Linked DNA regions of Schizosaccharomyces pombe. Changing the gene in region 1 together with any one later gene gives a genetic interaction. Each region holds a gene or a part of one and is shown in the gene's direction. Other genes may lie near its edges.

The links. Genes that interact genetically often act in the same process or in processes that back each other up.
Region 2: of csn5 (region 1) and nep2, changing one enhances a phenotype caused by changing the other (phenotypic enhancement), as found in Schizosaccharomyces pombe (one study listed by BioGRID).
Region 3: of csn5 (region 1) and nep1, changing one enhances a phenotype caused by changing the other (phenotypic enhancement), as found in Schizosaccharomyces pombe (one study listed by BioGRID).

Annotation. Positions count from the first base shown.
Region 1 is NC_003424.3:925,837-929,272, reverse strand, and holds csn5 (COP9/signalosome complex protease subunit Csn5), read left to right. Parts: upstream 1-1,646; 5' UTR 1,647-1,701; coding exon 1,702-1,784; intron 1,785-1,826; exon of another isoform or gene 1,827-1,891; coding exon 1,892-2,537; intron 2,538-2,601; coding exon 2,602-2,772; 3' UTR 2,773-2,879; downstream 2,880-3,436. Other genes in the region: SPOM_SPAC1687.23C (uncharacterized protein), read left to right, coding at 1-114; SPOM_SPAC1687.14C (calcium-binding protein), read left to right, coding at 830-1,060; ubiquinone biosynthesis protein Coq4, read left to right, coding at 3,028-3,151, 3,207-3,311, 3,416-3,436.
Region 2 is NC_003423.3:1,450,831-1,456,375, reverse strand, and holds nep2 (NEDD8 protease Nep2), read left to right. Parts: upstream 1-1,703; 5' UTR 1,704-2,941; coding exon 2,942-4,189; 3' UTR 4,190-5,045; downstream 5,046-5,545. Other genes in the region: SPOM_SPBC32H8.15 (uncharacterized protein), read right to left, coding at 1,043-1,348; SPOM_SPBC32H8.01C (uncharacterized protein), read left to right, coding at 5,272-5,361, 5,440-5,489. UniProt on the Schizosaccharomyces pombe protein: Protease that catalyzes two essential functions in the NEDD8 pathway: processing of full-length NEDD8 to its mature form and deconjugation of NEDD8 from targeted proteins such as the pcu1, pcu2 and pcu4 cullins and other proteins. Has a role in meiosis.
Region 3 is NC_003423.3:3,302,529-3,307,072, forward strand, and holds nep1 (NEDD8 protease Nep1), read left to right. Parts: upstream 1-2,006; 5' UTR 2,007-2,308; coding exon 2,309-2,336; intron 2,337-2,416; coding exon 2,417-2,471; intron 2,472-2,545; coding exon 2,546-3,725; 3' UTR 3,726-4,025; downstream 4,026-4,544. Other genes in the region: psl1 (pho85 family cyclin), read left to right, coding at 778-1,509; synviolin family ubiquitin-protein ligase Hrd1, read right to left, coding at 4,026-4,544. UniProt on the Schizosaccharomyces pombe protein: Protease that catalyzes two essential functions in the NEDD8 pathway: processing of full-length NEDD8 to its mature form and deconjugation of NEDD8 from targeted proteins such as the pcu1, pcu2 and pcu4 cullins and other proteins.

The DNA of each region.
Region 1 (3,436 bases):
TGTCTCAAAGGAAAAAATGGAAAAACTACGAAATCAGAGAGCGAACCAATGTCTCAGAAGCATCTCAAATATGTTAAAAAATACATAAACAAAGTAAGAATCCTTAAAAAATGAATGTGTATAAATAATGTCAAACATTCATATATAATATATAACACGAGTATTAGTATGCCACACCGCTAAAGGAGATTATGCTTGATAGCCTACATCATTAAAGCCATTTTGCAAGTCGATCTATTAACTCATCAAAAATCTTGTATTACGTGTTTTGTTATTTAAATATTGCGCACAACCTTAGCTTCGGTCAATTTATTATATTAGCTAATAACGCCTTAGTAGGTTGGCTTGGCACGTAAATAAAGTCAATTGAACACATTTTATACATAAATTTTGAGATTTCCAACTGTCTCTTCAATATCCTTGTTGATTTGGCAGTTTTAGAAAAAAAAATTCAGCTTAACGTTTTTATACCATATATTCATTAAGGTCAAGTTTCGTCCACTTTATCGCACCACGAAATTTCCATTTGTACCACCTTCAAATTGCATCAAATAGCCTGATTACTTAGTATTTAAACGCAGTTATTCCACTTTTGATTGTCTATCTGTTCATATTATTCCTCCTTGTCTTTTCGTTTGGATTTTTAACTCACTTCTAGTCTTTTTTTGATAACTGTTGAACAAATTATATCTCTTCTAGCCATCGGACGCTGATTTTCATTCCTTTCTTTTTTTTTACTGTTATTTCGTTCATTTTAGCATTTTTGGCACTATCTCATTTGTTTGCATTTGCGTTTCCTTGTTGAATAGTTTTTTAGTTTAGGGGAACCATGTCTGTCAGTACTAAACGTCTTGAAATGGATGAAGAAGCAGAAGAGGCTTTTGATCTTTTTGACGTGACACACAAAGGGTACATTGACTTTGAAGACCTTCGAAGATCTTGCGCTCAACTAGGGGAAAATTTGACTAAAGAACAGCTTCAGTTGATGCTCGATTTAGCTGGCACTAATGGTAAAGTATCGCGTGAAGAATTTGCCGAATTGTGGATTCATATATCTTGAGATTGTTTATCAATGGAGACAAACTTCATTTTATTTATGGGATTCATTCTCGCACTTTAATGACTTAATGATGATGGACTTAGTGTACTAAAAAAGATTAAACAATATTTCCTCGTGTTTTCTTTTTGTTTTCAAGCCATAGATGCCTGTTTTATATACTTGGTTGTAGGTTACAATTGATGCTAAAGATAAGTGTCACAGCCTGCTTGAACAACAATACTAGAATCTACATTCTTTCGTAAACCTTGATTTATTGATTTTTAGCATCTTCGTGTGTCTCTTTCATGATATATGTTACAAGGGATTGGCGATTGTGTAAATTCAGTGAATAGGATTTCAATGAACTAATACTATATTGTCTGTTTTCATTCATAGTAAAACAAGTTCTCAAAGATACCAGTTACCAAGCAAAATATATTGTCTTTTCGAAATTCAATAAACATACATTTTACAGGCTAGAATTCATGTTTTAAAATGCTTTTAATCAACTAATATGCTTAAGTAAATAAACGAAATTTTTATCTAAAAATATGTCTTTATAGCGAGTTTTACTTGTACTCGAAAAGTTCTCCAACATTTTTTCGTCACATACCACAAATGATTCATTTTCTGTATTTAATGACTACAATTACAAAATTGCAATGAATAATCAACTCGAAAATGTTTTTAGATTTGATGAAGAAAAAGAGAGGGCTAAAATTCGTGAATCGCCGTGGAAACATGAGTAAGTTAAGATTTCATTGGTTTTTAGCTATATTATACCAGTCTCTGAATTTTTTTCCCTACGTTAATTTATTAAAATTATAAATCCTGTAATGCTAACAATAACAGCCCAGAGTTTTTCCGTTCTGTCAAAATCTCAGCAGTAGCTTTGTTGAAAATGTTACGGCATGTATCTCAAGGCATGCCATTAGAGGTAATGGGCTATGTTCAGGGGAAGGTTGAAGGGGCCTCCTTGATTATTTTAGATTCTTTTGCGTTACCAGTTGAAGGTACTGAGACTCGTGTCAATGCACATGAAGAAGCACAAGAATACAGTGTACAATATCATACTCTTTGCAAGTCTGTTTACAGACATGAAAATGTCATAGGATGGTACCATTCACATCCTAACTATGGTTGCTGGCTTTCAGGTGTAGATGTTGAAACTCAGCGCCAAAATCAAAAATATCAGGATCCATTTGTTGCCGTTGTGTTGGACCCGAAGCGATCCTTGGAATCTCCATATGTAAACATTGGAGCATTTCGAACCTATCCTGTCGGTAATGATGGCTCTATCCGCACAAAATCTCGTCATCACCCGTCTGTCTTATTTAAAAATTTACCTTCTTCCAAAATCGAAGATGCCGGAGCCCACGCAGAAGCGTACTACAGTCTCCCTATAACTTACTTTCATTCCAAAGCTGAAAAAAAGGTTACGGAGTTTTTAAGGAATAGAAACTGGTCTAGGTCAATCACCGAGTGTTCTATTTTACAAGTAAGATTCATATTCTAATAAAGTTTCTTAACGAGTCTGCAAGTTTTTCTAACAAGCAATATAGAACAATGAATTTTTACATGACAGCGAAAAATTAATCGATCATCTTATTCATGAAACAGGGAATAATGAATTACCTGTTGCATCTGCCTACGAACAATCCAAAGCTTGTTGTAACGAATTATCTACTTTTCTGTCTCAAATTGATGTCCAAGATAAATTATTTAAAGAATGAATAAATCAACGATTCACTAATATCAGGAAACATGAGATATATAAACGTCGAATCTACTAAGTAATACAGTACAGTTTATTAATGAAAGTCATATTAATATATTTCAGTTAGTTTTTTTTTTATTACCCGTAATCTTTTTTTTTTTATTGAGTAAACATATTCGACTTTTGTAACGCCAAATTCGTAAATCTATTATATCGATGACACACCACTTTAAAAAGTATCAGCAATACTGAACTTCACATATCAGTATGTATGTTTTATCTTAATGCTCATCTTGAAATTAATAAGGTCGTAGACGTTGTAATGTCACTTTCAAAGAAGTTTTTAAAGCCTTCAGTTGCTTCCAACCAACTTCGTTTGCTTTTTACAGCAGCTGGTAAGAAATGTTTAGCTCAGCTAATGCATAAATGAGATTTTACTAAAGAAATTAGAGAGGAAGGTTAATTATCCAGGACATGTTCCTTTATCACCGCTGCAACGTATTTTTTTGGTTGCAGGATCAGCAATCATGGGATTGAAGGCACCATGGAGAGGCGGTATGAAATTTAGGTAGTAAAAACACTTCGGCAAATTCTTTTGACCTTTGCTACAGAAGTTGGTGAAAAGCTATATTTACTTTTTCTGGATTTACTAATGCTAGGAGATATGATATCTGTCCTAG
Region 2 (5,545 bases), on another chromosome or scaffold:
TTATTTTTATTTATGTTACAATGGTTATAGTCAAACACATTTAGAGTGAAACAGTAAACCAACGGCTTTAAAAATTAGTGAAACACAAAACCAAAACTTTATTACATTATAGCGATCCCTCATTACCATACAACAAACTCATTTACAGTAAAAACAAGATAGAGCTTAACTCTACATTATTTAAAATAAGAAAAAGAAAAAAGAAAAAAGAAAGAAAAAGAAAAAAAGAAAGAGATTTTACTTGTCATGCTTGCCTCTCCCTCTCCCTTTCTCCCTTCATCTTGCTTCATCTCCATCTTCATCTTCATTTCCATTTCCTTATCCATTTGCTAAACGTCATAACGTAACTTAAGGCAAAAGCCTCGAATCTACCGACTCCGCATTTTACGAATGTTTGTGTTTTTGCTTTATTATTTTCCCTAGTAACCCATCCACGTCCACAGGCAACAAACATAATGTGGCAAACCAAAAATTTTAATTCGAAATTTGAAGCGCTGCGTAGAAAACGGTAAATCAACTCTATTCTGGTGGGAAAGGGGATGACCCAACTATCATTGATTACAGCAACCATTATCAAAGTTTGGTAATGCGTAAGAAAAGAAGCGAAGTCCAGTCTCACTCGTTTAAACCGTCGATTAACGTTTAGGTTTTTTTTATTCTTTTTCTAATTTTTTAACTACATCATCGAAAGAGAGATGAGAGGGAGAACACAAACAAAACAACAACCTCATTTCGTCACAATCGGATAAGAAGTAATGGATTGTTTAATGTTGATAATGAAAGGAAAGGAAATGAAAAAAGGGTGGGTGAAAGATGAGTTGTGTTGGAATGTTTGTCTTGTTTTCCAAGCCTATTCTATCTTTTTTGACACAAATAGTAACATATATTACTTTTTACTTTTGCTATCACTGGCATCATTCAACTCTTTTCACCTCCGATTCCATTCCAATGTCCAAATTTCCTTGCGATTCTTGTTAGTTTTCGCCCCACCCAAAAAATTCCCTTTCCCCCCCCCTTTTTACCACTAAACAACAACCGCATATCATTTGCCGAGCATCCCCGCTTCCCCGCCCAGCATTTCAATTACCCCTCCTTTTGAGAGGAGAGCTCGGCCGACCCATGTCGGCCTGAGAATTCGAGACCAAGGAAAAAAATATTGCATGTCAACTTTATGTGGCCAACCGCAATGCAAAGAAGTGGAAAGCGGTGCGTAGCAGTGGATAGCAAACGATAAGGAGTGAGATGAGAGAAAGAAAAATATAGAGAGAGAAAAACATAGAGGGATGGAGAAGAGACACATGATGGAAATAAAAAGAGTATGCGCGATATTTGAGTATCGAAAAGTCATTGAAAGTATTATTTGATAATTAATTTTCTAAAAAAACCTTTTCACACATTATAGTTTCACTTGGATTTTATTCTCTGTTTACACTAGACGATATGTCTCTCTCTCTCTCTCTCTCATCTTTCTCATTTTAACACACCACCCTCTTTTTCACTATTCCCCTCTTTTCATCTCTTCTCTCCCCAGTCCACTAGATTACGCTATATTGGTGTCATCTTTTGATCATTCTTCCCCTTCTCGGCATCCCTCCCCCCTCCCCCCGCCGTCGACTATTCTTCCATATTATTGTTACCTGTCTTCTCCACCCATCTCCATCTTCACCTCCACATTCTGGGTCTGTCTTTTTGCCCTTTACCCCAACTTTTTGCCAACCACAAAAGTACGTGTTGGACGGTCATTGCCGGCTCCTTTTCTGAACACTCCTTTCATCATTTTTTGCTTTTTCATTGCTCAGAAAACTTCTTTCCTCTACACAATACTCACCACTTAATTTCCTCTCTTCTCACTACTACACACTTTTTTTTTAACTCTCTTCTCTACTCTCTGTAGGTGTGTGTGTGTGTGAGTGTGCGAGTGTATGCGTACGTGCGTGTACAAGTGTGAGTGTGTTCTGCTGACTGTTCGTTCGTCTTTCTCTCTCTATACAATTTCTACTACATTCATTCTCACCATTTTTATTCTAATCCTTGTTTTTCTTTTTTTCTTTCTCCACATTGTTTGGTGAGGTGGTTGAATTGTTTTTTTTTATATTATAGAAGTTTCTCTATTGGTTTTTTCCTTCTCATATTTTTGGCATTTTTCCTCCTTTTTCTTTTCTTCTTTCTCTTTCCCTGCATCCTTTTGATTTGCTTTTCTTTTCCCGTTTTACTTTTTACTTTGCACGTTCTCCTTTTTTAAAGGCTTTTTTTCTCCTCCTTCTCTCGACGTCGTCTTCTTTTACTTTTATTCGTAACCAACTTAAGACTCGTCTCTACCTCAAATTATCTCTCAATTCTATTCCATCTGGATTCTCTCGGATTTCTTCCTTGCGCTTTTTTTATCTCCTTTTTCTTCCTTCTTAGCGCTCCAACTCTCCGTTAATCGTTTTTCCTTTTTTTTCCCGTTGCAACCCTTGGTTTCATCTCATCATCTTTTATCCCTCCAAACTCATTTATCCTCGATCCAAATCCAATCCAATCCAATTCAATTCAAGCTTCCTAATTGCTTGCTTGCCCAATTGCATTCGAAAACTTCCCAGTTAACAACAAGTTTTTCCATTTGCTATTTCTTTTGTTTTTGCTTTGCCTTTTTTTTTTACCTTTCTCTTTTAGTTTCTAATTTTCTTTTTCCTTTTATTTGTTCATACTGTCTTTTCCTAACTCTGTGAAAAAAAAAGAATTCGATATTTATTTATCCAATTCTTTCTTCTTTTCATTCAATTTTTTACTCTCCTTTTATTTCCTTTCTCATTTGCAATTCTCGTTCTTTCCCATTGTTCACTTTAGAAATAAAAAAGTGCTTATTTTCTTATTACCTGCCTGGTAAAAAACGCGTTTCTAAAAACTTGTATTCGTCTTTTTCTCTTTCTCCCACTGTCCTATATTCCACTTTTAAAAAATGCGCTCCAATTCCATTTTCACAAAGGAAATCGACAGCGAGGCTGTGAAAAAGTCTAGCAATTTACGTCCTCCCTCCACCGGCTCTTCCAATTCTAATGGCTCTGATACCGCTTCTCCCAAAAAGAAGAAAAAGGGCTTTTTCCGTTCCTTGTTTGGCAGCAGCAGCAGCGGATCAAAGTCTTGCGGTTCCCCGTTTACGCGCATCTGGCTTGAATATTTCGAGGTTTCCCTTCGCAAAAACGACGTCGACCACTTTCGTCCTGGGTATTGGATCCTTGATACAAACATCGATTTCTTTTACGAAATTATGTTGCGTCAAGTCTTGCTCAAACGTCCCAAGGAGGAGAGTCAACAAATATACTTGCTTCGTCCTGCTATGGTCTTCTTTTTGGCCCAGGCTCCTAATCCTTTGGAAATCGAGTCTGCCTTACCTCCTGCCATGTTTGATGCATCGTTTATCTTTCTTCCTATCAACGATACCAATGAGTGTGGTATCGAGAGCGGCTCGCATTGGAGTTTGTTAGTCGTCTCCGTTGAAAAAGGTTTGGGCTGGTACTATGACTCCATGTCCAATGGTAATACCAATGACTGCAACCTTGCCATCAAAAACCTTGGCATTCTCCTTAAAAAGGAATTCCGTGTCCGACACATGAAGACTCCACAACAAATTAATGATTGTGATTGCGGCCTTCATGTTTGCGAGAATACTCGTATCCTCATGTATCGTCTATTGCAAAAGCCTTATGTACCCAAAGTGGACATGAACTTGGACCATTCTGTTGTCGATAGTGTGCGTCTTCGCAAGGCACTAATGGAGGTCATTACTTCTTTACTTGCTGCTTATGGCTCCAAGGTACCCAAGCCTTCAGAAACGCATACCGATCCTGAAAAAGATAAAAAGATCTTTTCTAAAATATGCAAGACGGAAGAGTTGTTAGAGCTACCTACGCTAAGCGCTGTTACTTCTGATTCGGCCCAACCGCATTCTTTGCCAGCTTCTATGCCCAGTTCGCAACCTCAATCAAGGTCGGAATCTTTGCCGCTCACACATCCCAATTCGGAACCAAATCCAAAGCTCGATTCACAGCCCAACTCCTCACCAGTTCGTAGGCCATCATTAATAAAGGTAAAGACCGCTAGTACTTCTGTTCTTCCAACCTCGATACTTCAGAGACCACCCTCAATCGTACCGAGACCGGAAACCGCAGCTATACAACATACACAACAATCCATTGAGATTCATTAATTTCCTCTGTCTCCCAAAATGCAACTTGCTTTGAAGTGAAGTTTGGATGTCTGATTTATTTTTTGCTTCATCATCGAATTGCATCGCATTGCTTTTTTCATCCATTTTTTGCCGCTATTTCCGTGTTTCAAGCATACAAGTTTTATCGGATTGTTCAGATGGTTATTTTTTTGAGTCAAGTTTTGTCATTGTAAATCTTTAGATGTTCATTTGCATCCTCATATAGTCGTGAGAGATGAGGTATGAACGGATGTTTGTGTGTTATTTATGGAGGCTCGTCTTTTATTATTATTATTATATGTGTTTGGTTCTCGGTTCCTTATTATTATTATGTTGCTTGCTGGTTATTTTCTTGCACAATGTTGCTTATTTTTTAACTTGCTATTCCTTTTAGATAAAGGTATCTGGGTATAAGATTCCACTTATGCTGTTGCTGTACATTGCTGGTTTATCCGGTCACTCGTTTTTCCTTTTTTTTTTTCATTTTTCCATTGTTGATAAGAATTTGTCCCTTTTCTTTATCATTTCTAAATATTTATTTATCTTTGTATTGTCATTACTTATGCGTTTCATTTCTAAATCACTGATTTTTGCAATGTTTTCCATCTTTAGGTTTCCACCTTTTACTTGCTACAATTTTTATGAACAAACAAGTTGATCAATAGAAAATTTTGGAATTGCTTCCAGTGTTTTATTTTACCTTCCCTTTACAATAGGCTGAATAGACTTTACGAGTTGTATTCATTGTCCGAGGAAGGTTTTCAATAAGAAGTTTTGTTAACATGCCTTTTAATTGAATATGTATATGTGGGTGTACGTTGCACTAAAGCCTTTATTTATTTATTTATTTTTTTTGATCTGAGCAAAAAAAGTCAACATGTTGCTTAGTTGTCTATACAATGTTTGGGCAATTGCAAAAAAAATCAATAAAATAGATTGAGTATTTTATTTTTATTTTAGTTATAAATTAAATAAATTAAGTATTCTGTGGTGCTTGAACCGTCTATTAGATAAATTGATGTGTGAGTGTAATTCAGGCGATTCACCCCTTCTCTCTTCTTTACCTCAAATATAAAGTAGTAATGTTGAAGAAAATGCCGATGTCCAATAAATTTGAAAATTTCTATACATTGAGACAAGTTTCAGAAGTAGATAAAAAACCATGCTTTATTGTAAGAAACAACAGCAATTAAAAATTGCCCATTACCTTGATGAAGCACCATTTTCTAATACACTATTATCGTTTCTAGTGTTACAAGCCTACAAAATGGGTATTAATAACAAAAACTAAATTAGATTTGTAAGTAATCATTGTGAAAACCTTCATGGTTTGAGTTGATACATAATTTAATGGGA
Region 3 (4,544 bases), on another chromosome or scaffold:
ACTTTGGATTTATATATCTCATCATTTATACATTTGGATTATTAAGAAATTTTTGAATCCTCTCTTCCCTTATCCCTAAATAGTTAGAGAAAAACGACAAAACTCAGCTAAAACCATTAAACTTTTTCGTTTTAAATTCCAATCTCGTTGCTTTTAGGACTTGACTTTTTACATAGATGAAAATCACTATCGTAATGCTTTTGCTTTTTTTCTTTGATTTCTTTTTTTTGGCAGATTACAGCCGTCTTTCAATATAAACGCTATATTACTACAGTCTTTGTAAATATTATCTACTTGGTGCGCAGGCCAACCCGATTATATACTTTGATTTAAATCCCATTTAGCCTTAGAATTTTCGTAACAATAGCTCTGGACTCCTAGTAAAACTGTATTGCTTCCTGTATATTTGAATCATAACTCTTTTTTTTAAAAATTAATCGATTTTGAATCAACTAAACTGATTCTTGCGAATAATACGGATTTTAAATTGAGATATAAAAAGTTAATTTATTAATCCTTTTACATTCATCTATCTACTTGAATCAAGAAAAAGTACTATGAAGAAACGCTCGTGATTTAATCTGCAATGTTTACAGTCGAGTTTGTTACATTTCACTAGTGCTTCATAAAAAATTAGCGATCTAAATAAGTGCACGCAACGTTGTATTCCGGTTGACAAGAACACGCAAGATTTCGCAATAACTTAAAGTCTAGGATTGGCGTCACAGACAGTAAAGACGTATTCGTCCATTTACCAAACATTTTTATAATAGTCCTATGTCCTTGGCGTTTACGCTTTTAACCTCAAAAGATAACACAGATGAAGATGAAGAACACTTGGAGCTTTCTTCTTTTAATCAAGAAAAGCTCTTGGAAATGATATCTGTGTTTCTCTCGCGTCTAACGCGTTTGAACGATAGCAAGCAGGAAGCTACTGAATCAGATCAAATACCATTATCTCCAACAAGTTTAAAGAACCCTTGTTTGATATTTTCTGCAAAAAATGTGCCTTCCATATCTATTCAGGCTTATCTAACACGAATCTTAAAGTACTGTCCTGCAACTAACGATGTATTTTTAAGTGTTTTGATTTACCTTGACAGAATTGTTCATCATTTTCATTTCACTGTCTTTATCAACAGCTTTAATATTCATCGTTTCTTAATCGCTGGGTTTACGGCCGCAAGCAAATTTTTCAGCGATGTCTTCTATACTAACAGTCGCTATGCAAAAGTTGGTGGTATTCCCTTGCACGAATTAAATCATCTGGAGTTATCTTTTTTTGTGTTTAATGATTTCAATCTTTTTATATCTTTGGAGGACCTTCAAGCATACGGTGATCTTCTACTTTCATGGTATCGGCAAAATGGGCAGAATTACAACCCTACCGATGTTTCATGCTCTATTGAATCTCCCATTTCCCATACTCCGCAACAAAATCAACAAGATGAACAGCCACGTCGGCCCATAATGGATCGAAGGTTACTCTCTTCTCACTCAATTGGTTAAATTTACTACTGTGTTTGGTCCTCCAAATTTTTTTTTGCTTCCATCTATTTATCTTTATTTTCTGTTGAAAATATTTAATCTGATTATTTAAAACTTGGAAAAGTTACCTTGGTGCCTTTTGTCTGTATATATATATATTTCATTCTGCTGTGTCAATGTGGATACGACTAGTTTCTGAATTTTCAAGTGGCCTTTAAATTTTGTACTTGTATATGCTATTTCTCCTTTGTCTCTTATTTAATGTTTTTATCTCAAAACATGCCGTTTCATGAAATTCTCATTTATTACATTCGGATTATCTGACTTGCAATAAGGTTTTTGGAATTTGGAAATTGCATGCTACTTTTGTATTCGGTATTCTACTTTACGATGCTTACAACGCTTACGGTATATTGTGCTTTGGTTCCTTGTTTAAGTTAAGGCTGTTGTAAAGGTCCGCTATGATCAAAGTCCTTAGCTTACTCCGCTATCCCTGTTCCATTTGTTCCTTTCTCTTCACGTTGCAATTTGTTTATTTCTGCCGCCTACTCTGCAGTTGTTTTTTTTTATTTTAATTAAGCCGTCCAATCCTGTTTGTTTATTGAGCCTTACTTCTGTTTGGTATAGGAACGCTGTATTCCCGGTCTCTGGTTCCGCTTTCAATTCTCGTGATTTTTTTGTTTGTTTTAACCCGATAAAATAAACATTTTATTTTAACACTCGTGTTACTCTTCCGTTCGAGCTGTTTTGTTTGCGGACCTATTGTTTGTTTAAATTCCTTTTTTTCCCCATTTCGTACTTACTTTTAAACAATTTTTAAATGAGCAGTTCTCCAACCGTTCTTGAATGTAAGTTTACACATATATTGTGAAATCTCTGTCTAGAAGCGTTTAAGTTTGCTGAATAAAAACTAACTTGTGCTATTAAGTATTTGATGTGTGTTTTAAGCAGGAAGACGTGGATAGCTTAAAAAAGCCAAACTGGTAAGGAAATTTGGATACATGTTTTACTTTTACTTTGTGCATCTGAAATGAATCTTTCAATTAATACAAGCTAGGTTCACTGATGTGAGTATTGATTATGTTGACGAGTTAATTGAGCACCTATGGTTTCCCTCATACCCAAATCAAGCTAATGAAATTTTGCTGCTTCGCCCTTCGTTAGTTTTTCTACTAGCAGAAGCTGCTATTTCTCCTGAAGAGCTCAAAGTTGCTTTGCCTAAAAAGTTAATGAACTGCAAATATTTATTTATGCCTATCAATGATTTGGATAAACATGCGGCAGGAAGTGGAGGTTCACACTGGTCTTTAATGGTCGCAAGTATTCCTGATGGGCAATGTTACTATTATGATTCTCTCAGCAACGGAAAGACAAAAGATTGTCGCAGTGCCTTGGCCCGTGTTTCGGATCTTTTCAAAAAAAAATTTACAATAGAGTGTATGCCCGTACAACAACAAAGAAATGGATATGATTGTGGAGCACACGTTTGTGCTTTTACCCTTGAACTGGTTCGGCGTTTGTTACATTCACCGATGCCCACTAGCTCTATGTGGAATTTGTCTACATTTCAGCCAGATGTAACAGCTATTCGGGAGCAGTTGAGCCGTTGCTTAGACCATATAATTAACTCCTTGGGGACAAGGGTAAGCGGCGATTTTGACGAGGACTTTCCTACTGGCACTGTGTTTTTTGACTTAGAATCTCACCTTCCTCTTCTCGATGTTGCCCTCCCGGTTCTACCTAAATCATCCGACTCATCTGAAACATCACATGAAAGCTCTAACTCTAATTTGAAGAAGTCTTCAGAGTCAGGATCTACTAATCACCATAATAACCATGAAAGCGATAAGGACCTGCATCATGAAGGCCATCATCATCACCATCATCACCACCATCATCATCACAGTCATGACGATGACCCTTCCTCTCCTGCTGAGAAGAAACAGAATCATGTGCCTTCACCTTCTGAAAAGATACAAGATCATGTGCCTTCACCTTCTGAAAAAAAACAAGATCGTGTTCCTTCACCTTCTAACAACAAAGAAGATCATTTGCCATTACTCTCTGATGAGAAACTTGACAAATCTGCGATTGACAAAATTGAGCCTACGCCATTACCTTCTGTCCATATGAACAGTCATATAGCGAAGGGGGAGTTACCGAAATTTCATAATAGCACTGATAATCCTTTTCTCACTCCTCCGGAAGAACTTGTATCTGGTGATTTCCCTTTTTGATGCTACACTTGCGTTGTTTAGTTTCGAATATACAAACTAGCGGGAAGGCTTGTTTCAACTCAAACAATCTGAGTTTTATCCTATCTTGTGATGTGAATGGTTGTGTAATTTTTATCAGCAGTCGCTAAATCTTTTGCTGTTTACAAATATGTTATTATTATCACGAGTGCAATAATCGTTTGCTTAATTATTGATTGAAAAATGTTTATACAAGAGAAATTATTTATTTATTAGTAAATGACTTATCACTTCTTTATTTTTAGGTCGTTCATTATTATCAAAAAAGTTTGATAGTAAATTTCAAAAATTTTCATCCACAGTTTCTAATTGTACATTTCGTGAGTTTTGTCGATCTTCATCAGTTGCAAATGGGGATGTTTGATCTGAACTGGTTAAGATCGATGATTGATTGTCGTTCGTTGTAATGGAAGTCTGCGTATTCTCAAATCCTTCAGTCCCACTCATACCATTGGAATTTAATAGTGAATCAGCAGAAGTAGTTTGTATCCTTTCATTAATACCACTTGCAGCTTCTAACTGATTTAAAGATGTACGTATACTATTGTAATCAGCACGAAAGTTAGAAACCGTTTCTCGTAATTCATCAATTTTGGTATGAAGTTCACGAAGCTGAGAAGATATATTAGATGAAGCAGCGGGAAACGTATTAGACGTTTCATTCGACTGTGTTAATCCTCTACTCAATGGTACAACGTTGGGTAAAGAGGAGCCAAGATTATTATCTGCTGATGATGCGTTTTGATATAAAGATGTCATTGCTGAGTTGGTAGATAGAGATTGAGTATTGCTAGATACTAG